Linked DNA regions of Oryzias latipes. The protein of the gene in region 2 purifies or fractionates together with the protein of the main gene of each other region. This does not show direct contact. Links are inferred from orthologs where the notes say so. Each region holds a gene or a part of one and is shown on either strand. Other genes may lie near its edges.

Region 1 (7,932 bases), on a different chromosome or scaffold from region 2:
CATTCTTATCATCAAGGAGAGAAAAAAGGAGGGACAGAGAGAAATTCCTGTCTCCAGCAGCCCTTAAGTTACTTTTTGTATTTTTTTAAACCTTAAACTGCTACTTCTGTTTTTTTTTTTTTTTTTTTTTTTTTTTTTTATCTAAATTAAATTGATGAGCATTTGTATTCGGCTAAGTGACACATCAAAGACCCACTCCAATTAAAATTGTGTTTTTAACATGTTCTTGACTTGTGGCACTTTTCTGATTATAGAGGACGTACATTAAGAAAATTGAGCTTAAAATTGTGTTTGAGTATTTCTATATTCAAATTGCTGTGAATCAGGAGCAGACGAAAAAACTCCATTGGAAAATGCTCATAGCAGGGAAGTAGGTGCTGCAATCATTGGGCCACAAGCTCTGTACTCCGCTACATTTTGATGCATCCACTTGCAGACTAATAGATCCATCCATGCATGTCTGCATTTTCCTCGCCTGAACTGATATCTGGCTCAACACTGGACAGCTGGACAGCTCCAAAAGTGCTCGCCGTTTTTATTGCTCCAATAATTGGGTTGGAGGTGTGAATAGCTGTAAGCTAGCGGGAGGGCATTAAAACAGATGGATAGAGGCAACTTGGAAACAAACTACCCATAACAGCTCCTAATCTTCTTCTTCTATCTAATATGTCACTGGAGGAAAAGAACTGCCGTTTCATTAGTATGGAGATCCATTGCCTCATCAAGTCAGCGTGTTGGATATGTGTGTGCATCTTTTTGCTTCCTTCGAGTCCGAATGGAAGAAGTGCAGCTGCAGGAATTAGTCAGCTGGCAAAAGGGAAACGAGGATGAGAGAGAAAAGAGGATGTGAGGGACAAATGTGTCTCTGTGTCACCAGCGGTGACTCCCTCACTTTCACTTCTCCTGGCTAATTTTTAATCCTCCATGTCAGTAGTTTTCAGGTAGATACTCAATATGACTATGGATGGAGGCTTAAAACCAACTTTATATTCAAAAAGGATGCATTTTTCTTGTAAAATTACAACTTTGCTCTCATAATTTTACGACTTTGTTCTTGTAAATGTTGATTTTTTTTTTTTGTTGTACTTAATTTTTATTTACTTGTATGGGGCCTTAATATTTTGTTGTAGATATGTACCCCAAAAAGGTACTAGATTTAAATACATGTTTGTATTTTTCAATCATGCATATGAAGATCCCAGCAAAAATGATCACAACAAAAAATGAGATCTTTAACACAAGGTGAATATGTATAAGAAGTAAAACACATTGTGTGGTATTATTCTTTACTACACCAACAATTTTTTCTTCCTTTTTTGATACACAAATCACATTTCTTCATTTAATTTTTATTTTGTATAAATTTAGTGCTTTGTAAAAAAAACTATATTTATAAACTCTGTTTTAAAGATTTTATTGATTCATTGAAGATTTTCCATAAATAAAATATATTCTGAGAGTTACACCTTTGTGAGGGGGGGGGGGGGGGGGGGAAGCTTGGGGACCACTGCCTTCATGTCGTTCCTTTCTGTTTTTTGCCAGGTGGTGTTTGGTTTCATCATGGCAAGGTGTGTTTGAGAGGCAGCCACAATGATTGGAGGACTGTTTATCTACAACCACAAGGGGGAGGTCCTGATCTCCCGTGTCTACCGAGATGACATAGGGTATGTTTGACACGAACTAACCTTCTGTAAGTCTCCTCAAGTTGTGGAAGACTTCAGTTCAATGGAACTATCTGGATCCTGCGTTGGAGGGCTAGCTGGAGTTGATCTCCTCGATGAGAGGATTATGTCACCACATCCAGCTAAAATCATGTCTGCTTGTGCAAGGAAGCTGAGTTAGACGTAAGCCTGGATTAAATCATCCGCTCATATAACATTGTTTAAGGGATTAGATGCTATTTATTTAACAATCTGAAGGCCTATGCAAATTGAATAAATGATTAGAGTTACAGATGCTCAGGCGCATTATCAAACCACACTCTCTGCTTTAGCTAGAGCTGTTCATCAAGAGTTGACTTTTGTTTTCAGTTCTAGAGGCAGGAAGAATTACAGAGAACCTAAATTGGATGGTTAAAAAATACTTGGATGACCCATAGCTAGTTTCTTATGTACAAAAAGTATTATTTATGGTCTTTTAAGTGTTGTTCTTTCAGATTTAAAACAATCAGCAGATTGTGCATGTCCATTGACTAAACCAGTGGTTGAGTTTTAGATGCAAGGCCTCATTCATGGCTAGGAAACTTGTTTCAATCAAAATGTCATAGTACTGTGAACCAGAACTTGCAGACTTGTTGACTTGGGGGTTTATGTTGTCTTAGCGGACTGTTCAGTCGACATACAGAAGAAGAATGGGCAAAAAGTTGCACAGCAGATTTACCATATGGGTCAATTTAAAGGCAAAATCAGAATTCAAAATTTTTTTTGTGCATTGGTATAGTTCTGAGGGAGGATGGCAAAAGCAAAGTGTGCATGCCTAATGCAGGTGTTCAGTAGGATTTCTTGCATCTGCACATGCGGCTCTTCAAATACATTTTCCAAACATAATAGAACACTTAAGAAAAGCGTACACTTCTTTCCACTTTTCTTCTCTTTGCCACAATTAGTTGTTTTTGCTTCATTTTCAGCCATTGTTGCATTCTTGATCATCCTCAGCAGCTTCTGTCTTCTCATACAGACACAATGCGTTTTGCTGAATAAAGCGGGAAAAGACGGAAACAAAAGAAACCCTGATGTAGCAGTTCTTGACTTTGCATAATCCGCTGGAAAACTAAAACGCTATGAACTTGAGGCATGTTTGCAGTAATGTTGATTGCCATTACCTTAGCCCACACACTGTACTAAAGGGGAATTCAATCTGTTGAGGTGTTGCACTGTAAACCCCAAGGATAAAGTGTAGTAAAATAATGCTAACCTTGTCCCCTAATGATTTACCTAGCCCCCCACTTCCCTAAAAAAACCCTCACCTTACTCATTCTGTCTACACAATGCACGAAAATGTCTCCTGTACATTTTTGTCTTCATCCTTCTCTCCTCTCTATTTTCTGTATCACCATTATCCTCCATCTGTCCATCACGGTCCTTGTAGGAATAGGTAAGAGCTACTGCAGCCTCTACAGCATGAACCCCACCTTTTAAAGGCTACAACTCGAGGATCTCATGAACCCCAAAGTGCATGCACATCTGTCCAACCATCAGGATTCCTGCTGATTCTTCTAAGCATGTCACCTGTCATGTTATCATCTAAAAAAAGAGAGATTTAAGGAATTCATACATAACCAGAACTGCCACTTCTAGCATGTCATTTGAGCATGGAAATTTTCCAGGCAAGTCATCTGAATTGTCATTTATTCATTTAATTTCTGTTTTTTAATTCAAAAGTAATGAGAGAGTTTGGATTAAATCACCCGGTTAAAGCTAGACCTTGGATTTAACTACAGCTGGACATAAATTTGCTGCCAGTTTGTGTTTTTTGTTCATTTGTGGTTAATAAAAACACCTCACACCCCAACCAGGTAAGGCAGCATCCTGAACTAACATGCCTCACACTCACTCCAACACGTCCACTTGTTTCCATGGAGTCTTCATGGACAGTTTTTTCAGCGTGTTAACATCTGTGAACCAACCCGGCCTGTTTCACACCGCAGTGTTTATAGGAACCGTGGTGCAACAACCATTAAGGGATCATACAGATCCTCTACATCATTTGTGATAATTGTATGTTTCTGGTTTTGGTAATGTCTGTTGTGAGTTGATGTGCACTCCAGAATATTCCCAGCAATTAGCAGTGTGGTTTGGTACTTTTGTCAGGACAAGCTCCATCCTGTCCACTGTATCCGTTTAAATTGAGGGCTGTTGAGCATTGTAGAGCGTTTTACCACAAAAGAACTAGATAAAAATCCTACTTGGATAATTATTGGTTTGAAACATTTTTTTTGTTTCCACAAAGTCCAGTTAATGTTTTTGCTGTGCTGTGAGTTTTTATTTGTTGGTTTGATCACAGTTTAGACATTAAAACGAAGTGTCTACCTCCTCATTCTCCCTCTGCATTTTATTCCTATTAAATATGTCCATGCTTTAGAGAATTTTTCTTTTTTTGCAAAAAATATTTTCACGTCAAACGATCCATTCTCATTTGTCACAAAACCTTAATCCGTTGACTCCATTCCTAAACTTTCTTTCTGCTCCTCTTCTTCTGTGGCAGACGTAACGCCGTGGACGCGTTCCGCGTGAACGTGATTCACGCCCGGCAGCAAGTGCGATCCCCAGTGACCAACATCGCCCGCACCAGCTTCTTCCACGTCAAACGCTCCAACATCTGGCTGGCGGCCGTCACCAAGCAGAATGTCAACGCTGCCATGGTGTTCGAGTTCCTCTACAAAATGTGTGACGTCATGACGGCCTACTTTGGCAAGATCAGCGAGGAGAACATCAAGAACAACTTTGTGCTCATCTATGAGCTGCTGGATGGTATGAAGTGACTGTTCAGTTTTAGACGGTTGTTGACACAAATACAAAAATCATGCTTTGACTGATCTCTGAGAGTTGGGACGTTAGCACCAATATTTTGCTTTGAAGTTTCTTTCTCGGAGCTGTTAGCTTTCATCATTTCATGATCTAGGGTTCTCTCTTGCCTATCTTATCTGTTGCTGATAGTTGTGTTTGTTTGTGCAGAGATTCTGGACTTTGGTTATCCCCAGAACTCTGAGACCGGGGCCCTAAAGACTTTCATCACCCAGCAGGGCATTAAGGGACAGGTACAACATCCACACTCTGACTGATCAAAAATAGGCTAAATGTATGCTGTCTATATGTGTAAAATTATACAGAATGCTAAAATAAATTCCTGTTAATCCTGTTATAAAGATGAATATGGGATGTCGGTAGAACGTTTCTTTACCATTCTGTGCTTAAAATAAAGAAAACACCTTTTCTTTTGGTTTATGTATTAAACTCACACCAAACAGTTGACATATGCTAAAAAATATATTTTCTTTTCCATGTCATTTCCTCTGTCTCCTGTGGTATTTGGACCCTTCAGCACCAGGTAATATAATGCTACACTCCTCAGATAGTGAAACAGGGTTATATTTTTCGATCTTTCTTTAGTGGGATCTCTTTTTCAAGGCCTTTTTTGTGTGGTTGAAATTCGGTCGTCCATATCCATCTGCATTATGGCTTTTCTTTCTGCCTTTCAGACAAAAGAGGAGCAGTCTCAGATCACCAGCCAGGTGACGGGACAGATTGGCTGGCGTCGTGAGGGCATCAAATATCGCCGCAATGAACTATTCCTGGATGTGCTGGAAAGTGTGAATCTGCTCATGTCTCCACAAGGTCAGTTAGTTTTCCCGTCAAACATGATCTAGGAAAACATTTGTGTTTAGTAAATGCATCAGACATGTCAAGTAGTTGCAAAGTCTTTCAAAGTATTACATGGACAAACTTCTATTTTTAAAACTTCCTGTTCATGCTTAAAGTTGAGGACTCCAATTTCTGTTTTGATCTTTTGAAACAATACTTGCTTATACAATTTTTTTCTATCGCTTGTTCAACTGTAGCATCGAAAGTTGTTAGATATGAATTCCATTGTTTTGAACATGTTCACAATTACTTTAAAAAAAAGTTGGTATTTTTGGTTGTAGTTGAACAAAAAGAGAAAAATGTCCTATTTGAGTATGACTTAAATAATGTACCTCTGAACATTAAGGACTTTTAGGTTAAATTGTCCCTAATAATCACTTTTTGTAACTTTTTAGAGGAAAATGTGTTTGTAATGATGGATTAGTGCTGCATATTTATAAAGTAAAGAAAATGCAGCTGATTTTTTTAGAGTATTATTCGGCTCTGATCGGTTTCCTAAATCCTTTGGGGGTTTTTGTGTGGGTTTTTTTTTTTTTTTTTGGGCATACTCCATGGGTGTGTCCAAATTTGAGGGCTGCATCCTTCAATGGCGGCCTTCCCGGGTGACGTTGGCCGGGTTCTGGATGTTAACGACTGTGAATTTGGACAAGTCTAGTCTTTAGATAATTCCAGCCGTTACATCATCGGCAAGTGTCCTGTCGCCTAGCAACCGTGGGTCCCGAACAGAGAGGAGTGGTGAAGCAGGCATGGAGCTCAAAAGTTTCCTGGCTTATTTGATCCAACTTTTAATCTTGTAATTGTAAGGTGTAATTATCTCCAACTCCAGGTCCCGCTTCACAGTCCAGCATTGTTGTCAGAAAATCTCCAGGTTCTGTCGCGATGCATCTTTGATGGTGGTCCTCAACAGCAGACTGGATGTTATCAAACTTTGTCTCAAGTCGTGTGATGGAGGCATTAAACTCCGCTGGAAGGGTTGCTCTGTGATCTTTTAGCGTAGCCACGACGGGCTCGTCGATGGTATCATCCTTTTTTGTTGTTCTGTTCGCCATCTTGTTGTGGTCGGGGGTTATTACAGACATTAAGACACAGTTATATGCACTTGTTTGAGTATAGCAAGTGAGAGAAAATTAGAAGGCAAATGTGATTTAGGCAGTAATCCAAACGCATCGGTTATTCCGTCATGGCGGCCATCCAGAACCCTCAATGCCGCAATGCATCTTGGGATATGGACAGCATAGAAGCATACACCAGACCAATCCTTGAAATTGGGGGGAAAAAGGCGGCCGTATTCGTTGGCCGCATTTGAAGGAGTCCTTGCATTTGGACAGCACTTGTCTTGGAGCTGTGACGTAAACATCCTACAAATGCAGCCCAGGAAGAACCCAGCCCTCGCATTTGGACACAGCCTATTTCCAAATTTCTAATTATTTTTTACATGAAGGGTTTCTGGTGTAGAAGTTTGGGTTAAAACTCGTCATGGCTGTCCCCCTCCCTGATTCCAGGCCAGGTCCTGAGCGCCCACGTGTCGGGTCGTGTTGTGATGAAGAGCTATCTGAGCGGAATGCCAGAGTGCAAATTTGGAATGAATGACAAGATTGTTATCGACAAGCAGGGCAAGGGAGGAGCGACTGACGATGCAGCGAAGAGGTGAGTGTTAAAACGGAGGCAGATGGCAACTCGACGATAACCAGACCCAATCTCCAAAAATACCAAGAATGTGAAAATTGAAAAACGGAATGTGCCCGTCCCTCTGTCCTGTACCCGTGTTGTCATCTTAGTCACTACAAACAAACAAGGCCTTACAGTTAATTTTCTCATTTTTGCCTGCCTTTGGATGCATCTCTCCTTTTCTTTTCCTTCTTTTCTATGTGCTGTACCTCAGTGATTTAGGGGGAGGAAGGTACTGTACTGACAAGTGTCCCCCCCCCGCCACCTTAACACACACCCCTCGTCTTGTCATAGCTTTCAGTAGTTTAACATTTCATGCACTGTGACCCTTCCACACAACTGGTGCAACCAACATTTGCCTTAGAAACTCCTCAGTGGACTGCCTGGTTTAGTAGATTGGTATGTTTATTAGCCCACACCCACCTGCTTGACCTATGACCTTAACACCTATCAGAAACTGTCATCTTTAGCTGCAGAATAGTGACATTAACTCAAAGTAGGCTCACATGTTTTGGTGTCAGGTGTTCCCTTTGCTCTCCTCATTTGTTGCTTTTGTCACTTCTTTACATTGAGGGAGGGGAGTCCTGGTATCTTTCTAAGACGATGCCTTGGGATGTTGAACCTGAAATACTCCATTAATCCTAAACTAGTTGACTTCTGCGTTTGTGTTTTCCTCAGTGGGAAGCAGTCGATTGCCATCGACGACTGCACCTTCCACCAGTGTGTGCGTCTGAGTAAATTTGATTCTGAGCGGAGCATTAGCTTCATCCCTCCTGATGGAGAGTATGAGCTCATGAGGTCAGTGGTTAGATCATCCATTTCAACTTTTGCACTTCCTTTTATGTTATTTGTTTGTTTTTTAAAAAGGGGAAGTTTACTCAGGATCATTCCTCTGCAGGTACCG
Region 2 (8,555 bases):
ACACGAAGCTACGAGCATGGCTGCACTGCTCCTAGGCATGTCGGTGTTTCATAGCAGCCGGCCACATGGAGTGAGAACTCATGGCCCCGCCCCCTCCCCTCTGGAAATGCTGACACATCCATCGCAGGGTGGATGTGAAAACGAAAATGCAATCCCCTCTTTGCATTATTGCTTTAATTATGTCACAGAATGAGCGATGAAAAAAAACATTTTTTAAGTATTGATTTTTCATTTGAATTTTGAGTCATTTGATGCAGGTACATTATGAAAACCAAAAAGCATTTTTGCTAATCCATTTTAATTGTCAAATTAGACATTTCTAAATTAATTTTGCTCCACATTTACCTGAGAACTTTTTGAAAGTTGAGCATTTTCTCCATCTTTTTAATTAAGTGACCGATTGAGTGGTGTTGAAGAAGAAAAAGCAGTTTGGCGGATTGCCTTTTCTTTTTAATTTTGAGTCAACAAACGCAACTTAATTTTGAAAATGAAAAGGAATTTCAGAGAGTGAATTTTATTTTGAATTATTTTTATTAAAATATACCCTCCTCAACCTCTGCAGAAGTTAAGCAGGCACCAGCAAACTCTACATGCAGACAGAACATGAAACAGTTAATATAGTTTGTGTGTGTAGGTCCAGGTTTGACTTGCGGTTCGATTTTTCTCCTTACGGTGTTGCAGTTGAATGTCTGGAGCATATTGTTGCGCTCGCAGCAGATCAACATGCTGCAGCCTGAACAGGGCGGTCTACCTCCAACGCGGAAATGCATGATTAGCTTTCCGAAACCAGCCGCAAAATTCAGACCCAACAGCTCCTCATTCTAAACATCTTTTACTGCAATTGCATTATGGGTAATATTCACTTCAAACGGAGTTGAATCCGGACTTTATCGAGCAGAAATCATTCATCCGCGCGGCAGACACCTTCCCGGCAAACAAATGATCTGCTGCCGGAAGGGATCCCTGACAGATCAACTGAACTGTCTAATGACCGGAAAACGGTTCCGTTCACACGGTCAAACAATCTCCAAAAGTCGACATCGATATGTGTTGTTTTTACCTTCTGGTTTTCTGATGTTTCCGCCAGGAATTGGATGAATGACGACTTTCGAACGACAGTACACCGGTGAAAGAAGTGCTACGTTCACACTACCCTCGGAAATTACTGCTTTTAAATGTACGAGTTGTACATTGCAGGAAATATCACCTGATATTTTTTTTTACCCCAATTTGATTCATTTGTTACATTTGACATCTGCTAGATTCCATGGTGCTTACCAGACGGAAAATTATTGGTAAAATCCCCAAATTTTAACTGTACTTTTTATTGTTAAATGTTTTGAACTTTACTGAAACCATGAACGCAACACCAAACTCATCTGACTGCATCGTGACACAAAGCGCCACTTTCTAGCGTCTTGATCCATATAAGGATTTAAGTGGGCAATAAATATGCCTTTCTTTTGCCACAATACATTCTTTTTCCTCTAATCCAGAGAGATTAAAAACATTTAGTATCATAAATCGAAGTCATTAAAAATCTATGAGTGAATATCACAATAATGTGACATTACACTACACAAGTTGTTAAAAAAAAACCAACGTGATCTTTTATTTTGAAATCATCCATCCGGGTCCCTGCAGGCCAAGCGTACTAACGCTCTGGCTCATGCTGCTGACTCGGACAGTGACTTCATGACGTCACTAGACATCAAGCTGGAAATAAAACAAACGAGCTTCAAGCCGGAAGTTGTTCTAATTTACTTTCAGTTTAAAAATGACAATTTTGTTGGTACATCTGTGTGAGTTTTAAACATAGATTTTGGTTTTAAAAAGTTTTTTTAATAAAAGAAAAACAATTTTTTGATAAAAAAAAATATTTTCAATTCTATTTTCAAAGTTAATGATTATTCAGAAAGCTCAAGAAGCAACCTTAACAATCACTCATGTATTTTTCTTTAGCTGTAAATGAAATCTGTCATACTTTAGCCAATATTAATAGTACTATTTTTGTTAAAAGGCTAATTGGTGTTGAAAAATGACTTCGAAAGAGATTTCATTGACATTAACCGTCTCTACAGCCTGTTATTGTCAAACATGCTAATTTTAAAAAGTCTTTACACCTTAGATTTGGACATGAAATCATGTCCAGAGAACTTCTGTCATAAGCTGCTATTGCATGTGATGACAGACGCCAACATATTCTTTTCAGTGGGATCTGTTAAATTCACATTTGTCTTACAGAAGTGGAAAGATCACTTTCTTCAGATGATATTCCTTTAACACTGTTTCAATTTCATTCTCGGATGTTCCACTTTCTGAATTCGAGATTTTAAATATGTTCTGGAAATAAAATTGATAATAATAAAAAATGAAGTTCAATTAAAATTTACAAAAATTACATTGTATCCGTGAAAATGTCAAAATTGGTTCATCATTAATTAAAAATTATTTTCTTGTTTGTGAATTGTTATAAAAGTAGATTAGTGAAAAATGAAAGCAAAAAAAAATGACTTTTAAAAAAAAATAGATGTACTACTTAGACCCCCCCCCCCTCATATTTTATGTATACCTTATATTTTATTGCAGCCCTAAAGCTCTTTCGTAATGGCATTTATAAATCGACTTTAAGAGTAACCCATTAATCAAACTAAAAAATCTAGAGAGAACATCTTTAAAACGGCAATGACAAAATGTTGTCATTTGAGGTACAGATTTCTTCCTTTGTGGTTATGCAAAATTATTGGTATTAATTACTTTTATTATATTACTCTTTAAAATCTTTGCAGGGTAAAAATGTGTCGCTCAAGGTGTACTTTATTTTGGAAGGTTTCCACGGAAGTAGTGTCGTCACTCCAAGTACTTTGACGAAGGGGGCAGGAATGGCGGCTATGATTACTAAAGGAAGGAGCCCAAAGATTCTGAAACTTTACTAATAAAGGCGCCGTGGAAGACGCGGATTGCGGCGAAGCGCTGGATCTCCTCCCCGGAGCTGATTCCGGAGAAAGCAGAGCTTTCAGGTCGGATTCATGAGGTTCGTGTCCAGATCGAGACGCCGGACAGCTAGTTAGTTAGCCTGCCGTCAGTGACTTTGATTGGAGGTTAGCTCCCCGCTTTACTAGCCAGCTGTTGGCCACTTTGCCAGGCTGCCCAACAACTTAACCAACTGTGTGGAGCCGCTCGTGGGTGGACGGGTCCGGTGGAAGTCGGCACCGCTCGCCCGCAGACGGTCGCGGACAGCGGGGGGAGTTCTCGCGCGGTGTTCGGGCTCCCCGTTAGCTCGGAAAGAACGCTAGCGGAGTTGGGATCCCGCTGAAGTGTCTGTCGCCCATTCTCGGATCCTGCCCCTACCATTGGCTAAGGGCTATCGCCGCCGCCGTCCGGGTCTGCTCGGCTCTACGATGGAAAGCCTCACGCTGAGCGATGTCGAGCAGAAGTACTACTCGGAGCTGTTCGTGTACTGCGACACGGACAACACCAAAAAAGTGGCCTCCAACGGAAGAGTTCTTGACCTTTTCCGGGCGGCCCAGCTACCCAGCGAAGTTGTCTTGCAGGTAAGCTAACCAGCAGTTTGGGGGGAGTTATCTCCGGGGAGGGGGGGGGGGGGTGACCCAACATGACGCCGTTAAAGGATGAAGTTTGGAGGCTGTCACAGCTCACCTCTCCCCCCGTTCAGATGAGGTTAGACCCCCCCGTGATGGCAGAGAGACACACCCTCTTTTAGCTAACGCTAGCCTCCCATGGAGCAGGAGTCCAGAGCTACTCACAGCTGGATCTGTCTGCAGACACACCTGTCCAGAGCTCCCCACAGCTGGATCTGTCTGCAGACACACCTGTCCAGAGCTCCCCACAGCTGGATCTGTCTGCAGACACACCTGTCCAGAGCTCCCCACAGCTGGATCTGTCTGCAGACACACCTGTGCAGAGCTCCCCACAGCTGGATCTGTCTGCAGACACACCTGTCAGGTTTAGGTGATGGACATCCAGTCTGATGGCTCCAACGCTGTTCTGATCAGAGGGCAGCTGTGGAGCTCTGCTCTCATCAAACATCTGCCCCTACAGCTCCTACATTAGATATCAGGACGACGTTGTAAAGCAGCTGGTTTGATTCTTGGATCAGATCCTGATGGTTTCGTTTGGGAGAATCCTCTCCAGCAACGCCATTAATGAGGAGAAAGTTACAATAAAAAATCTTAAAACCTGCTTTGAAACCTTGACTTAGTACTTTTTACAAAGAAATTATTTGATTTCAAAGTATCAAAAATGCCTTATTACCAAGACATTTCATCTGTTTAATAACAAAATAATAGTTACAAATTCTTTGAACAAATTAAGTCCATGTTTAATTAAGATAATATTTACAATATTTACAATATTTACGACTAGGGCTGCACGATATGAGGAAAACTTGCGATATGTGATATTAGTGAACAATATTACGATGACGATATAACTTGCTGTACATGAACAAATAGCAAAACAACCAAAAACATCATTTCCATGTCAGTTTAAAAAATTATACACAAATGACCACCGGCTAAATAGTAGGTCAATATGTAGCACAACACAAAATGGATCCATCCGATTGGTCAAATACATAAAGGGATTTATTTGATTTGTTAAATACTTCAAGCTCCCATAAGACTGTTTTAGCACATTTAAGGTTACCATTTATTGAAATTTTCGCCTCTCTTGCGATAGGCGTGTTGCACAGCTTGATATCGCGATAACGGTAAATGTGTGATTTATTGTGCTGGCCTATTTTAGACCCACTTCAATGAAAATGGAGTTTTCAACATGTAAAAAGACAATTAATTAAACCTGAAATTGCATTTCCGATTTGATGCAAATGGTTGTGAATCAGGAGCAGATGAAAAAATGCCACTGGAAAAAAATTGTATTTGTGACATAGAAGATACACTGGGCGGGGCCAAGAGGACCAATGCCTGAGAAATCTGAAAGAACAGGAACAGAAACCTTTTGCTAAAAGATTCTGTTGGCCAAGAGGCCAGCAAGAAAAAGGAAAACAGGACAACTATAACCAGACAAGCCTGCTAAGTAATGTAGCTTTTTTTTGTTTAGACATTTACCCCAAACCTAAAAAAAAAATAAAATAATAGAAGTTACTGGTATACTGAAAAGATTTAAGCTAGTTAAGCTGTGTAAAGGAATAACCATAACATCTTCTAAAAACAGATTCATAGGTAGTGTAGCCTCTACTATTAGAAAACAATTGAACTCAACCTTGCTAACAAAGCTAACTTCAATGAAAAAGTCAATAAGAGAGCTCATTTCAGCAACTCGTGTTAGCAAACAGAAGACACGCCCCTTAAGAACTTTGAGTCATGTTTACCAAGCAAATGCTTATGGTGGCTCCTCCCACACGCATCAGCAGCTATGAACGCTTTTTTGGAGGAGCGTTGAGCCGCATGTTTGACACAAGAGACAGCGAATGCACCATGACACGAGCTAAGACAGCTCGCCAGTTAGTTTAACGTTGACTATTAGCGAATAATTACAAAAATAAAAGAAACAGAGAAATAGTCGATACGAAATAGAAAAAAAAGACTGATCCGAAATCTCGATCTGATTTTTTTTTTGGTAACTTTTTTGAAGCTAGCTCCTTCATTTCTGCTTCTACTTTGAAGTTAAATCGTTTCAAGAGGAAGTGAGTGAATCCATATTTTCAAAGCTGCAGTGTTGCTTCTCTTGGTCTGTCTTCTTCTGCGTCTTTGTTTTTCCAGGCTTTCTGATGGTTGGCCTGGAAAGTCCTTGAAGGCTAGAGGCAACAGGGATCAGCTTGGGAATGTGTTTGAATCCCACACACAAACCCAGCAGCGATGCAGCGTCGACTGCCGCTCTGGAGCCTTTTATCAGTGGACGTTTCCTGTTCGCATCCTGTCGTCCCGCAGAGCAGCGTGTGCACATTTGAAACAATGAAACTAATGAGTGACGCTGCTCCGTGCTGACTCAGGCTTTGAGCTTCTCACATGACAACCTGAGGAGGCCGGCCAGAGAGGCCTTTAAGTCAAACTGCTCTTCCCGTCATGAGCGGGGCAGAAGCAGCGTGACTCAGGCTTTCTGAAGAGCCCACAGTTAGCTCTTTGTGACTCAGCATCCCTTCAAGGTCAGCTGGAGAGTCGTAGAGCCGCCCAGCAGCGTTTGGAGCTGCACAGAGCCGAGTGTCGGCCTGCGACGGGCGCTCTGTGGGCGGTTTGGGGTCAGTCAGCTGTGGTGACCTAAACCTTAAAGGGTGGGGGGCAGCGGAGCGGGAGCAAAGACGCCGTCCCTGAAAGCAAACCTTCAGTGACAGCTCTGTTTGTTTTTTTTGGAATGTGGAATTTTCCAAAGGTGTGGATCGCCAGTCGATAAGCCCGCACTGGCTCCACCTCCACAGAAATAAAGACTCTTGTTTTTTGGGGGGGGCGGGGGCAGATCACAGAGCTGTGCGGAGCCACTCGCCTGGGTCACTTTGGGCGGAGCCAGTTCTACATCGCCTTGAAGCTCATCGCCATCGCCCAGGCGGGGCTGCCCCTCAGGGTGGAGAGCCTGAACTCGGGTGAGTCCAAACCGTCCGGATGTTAGCTGTTTTTGTCTTGTTTACTGCATCTGAGCGAGGAGTTTCCACGTGTCGCAGCCACAGGAATATTCATGTGCACATATTTAGAATATTTCACTGTTGATGCATCATCAAGCTTCACTTTTTCTCTCAGAACAGCCCAGTTGCTATCGTCAGGTTGTATTGCACTTTAAAGTTAAAAAAACAAATAAATATATCTATATATAGACGAACAAAACAGCTGCTGATTTATAATAAATCTATATAACAGAAAATATTGAATAAAGTTTGAAATATGGACGATAAAGGTAGAGCAATGGTTTGTTCTGCAGAAATGTCTAACAAATCAAATCTCCAAGATGATTATAGCATCCTGTGTTGCTATGGTAACAAAGGTTGCTATAGTAACAAATGGGGGTGTAACGATTCATTTGAACAATTCCATTTAATATTTGCCAATTTGATTCACTTTTGATTTTGGTTCATTTTGAATGATCTGATTCTCTGACCTAGAATGGATCCAGATCATCTTCAGGTAAAACTTCCAGCAGTGAGACTCAGACAGAAATTCCTGCTACTGAACAGTGAAGTTTTCCAGATTCTTGGATTTCTTCCAGATCATCAAATGTAAATGAAATATGTGACCAAACAAACAAGTCAACTAGAATGAATGTCAAATCCATTCACATGTTAGTTTCCTAAAGTTCAGTCCACTGTTGTTAATACATCCAAAGAATCCAAAGGGAACATTCTTAGAACATTCTAGAAAACTGGATGGTCACATGACTTTGCTAAATTCAAAGTCTGTCCACACATTGGACTGGAATGATCAGTTTTTTGCTCCATCACGTTTGTGTTGTCTGCTATGACACTTCGTCTTTTTTAAGTTCTAGTAAATTAAACCTACCAAGTCTCAATCCAAATGGTGTTTTCCAACATTGATTCAAATATTTGGTTTTTTTTTCATTTGGAAACTATTTTTGATGGTTTACGTCATTTCATTTTGATTCTGCCTCAGATAGATGGATCTTATTGGACGGTGGGAATAAAAATTCATGCATGCATTCATTGATGACTTAATTAATCGTTACCTCTAATGGCAACCTTTGTTGCTATGGTAACAGAAGTTACAATAGCTTATTTTCCTGTTTGGTAACACACTAGGTTTGAGGAACAGTGTGTAGTTCTGGGCTGTTTTCTGAATAATCTGAATAATTTCTAATAATTGCTCCAGCCGTTGCTCTCTTCTCACTAAGTTGCTTGGTTACTGTAGATTGGTTCATCCCATTCTCGTTCTGGTAACAACTTAATACACATAACCAGCTTTAAAACACAGTTCATGAGTGGAAGATAGAAGAGGTTTTTCATGTAAAATAGATACATATTTGTTTTCTGCTTCACTATACAAAAATCAAACAATGTCCAATTCTTTTTTTCATATTCTGCATGTTGAAATATGTCTCGGAGGAACATTACAGACCAAACTCCTCTTTTTATTGGAGACAGCTTGCTGAATGAGTGACCAATAAACCCTTTGATTGCCCCACAGGCCACTTCCTCTCTGACAGAGAGACACATTGTGTAGTTTGATAGTTGTTTGTTGTCTGTGTTCTTCCTGGCTGGATGTGAGCGCGGCGTTTCATATCAGCACCTTCATGCTGAATGGATACGTTTGTGTCTCTCTATGTGGAAGCAACTGTTTTAGAAATGAAAGCTTGTCTCTATTGTCACAGCTGGGCATTTGCTGAGCAGCTGCATCATCAGAGGCCTTCAGGAAAATGTTGGGAATCTGCTCCAGCGCCTGTGAGGACGGTTCCCGCTCTGCTGCTCATGTCTGACTCTGAGTTGCGTTTGTGTTTGGCCAGTCAAGGATCTGCCGCTGCCCAGGTTCATCGTGGGGAAGAACGAGGCAGAAGCGAGACACGCCGCTCTGTACCAGGATGCAGACAGTCAGGGAGTGTACCCACCCCCCGGTGTGGCAGTGATACCCAGACCA

The links. The genes of interacting proteins can lie anywhere in the genome.
Region 1: the proteins of reps1 (region 2) and ap2m1 purify together in Homo sapiens (affinity purification with mass spectrometry; 3 studies listed by BioGRID and IntAct, counting the BioPlex papers as one, with this or other methods). This does not show direct contact. The link is inferred for Oryzias latipes from reciprocal best matches to the Homo sapiens genes REPS1 and AP2M1.

Annotation. Positions count from the first base shown.
Region 1 is NC_019875.2:21,536,322-21,544,253, forward strand, and holds part of ap2m1 (AP-2 complex subunit mu), read left to right. Parts: intron 1-1,542; 5' UTR 1,543-1,590; coding exon 1,591-1,664; intron 1,665-4,203; coding exon 4,204-4,469; intron 4,470-4,673; coding exon 4,674-4,756; intron 4,757-5,040; coding exon 5,041-5,046; intron 5,047-5,197; coding exon 5,198-5,333; intron 5,334-6,862; coding exon 6,863-7,007; intron 7,008-7,242; coding exon 7,243-7,260; intron 7,261-7,706; coding exon 7,707-7,826; intron 7,827-7,926; coding exon 7,927-7,932.
Region 2 is NC_019882.2:19,493,459-19,502,013, forward strand, and holds the start of reps1 (ralBP1-associated Eps domain-containing protein 1), read left to right. Parts: upstream 1-2,845; 5' UTR 2,846-3,401; coding exon 3,402-3,554; intron 3,555-6,435; coding exon 6,436-6,559; intron 6,560-8,424; coding exon 8,425-8,555. UniProt on the Homo sapiens protein: May coordinate the cellular actions of activated EGF receptors and Ral-GTPases.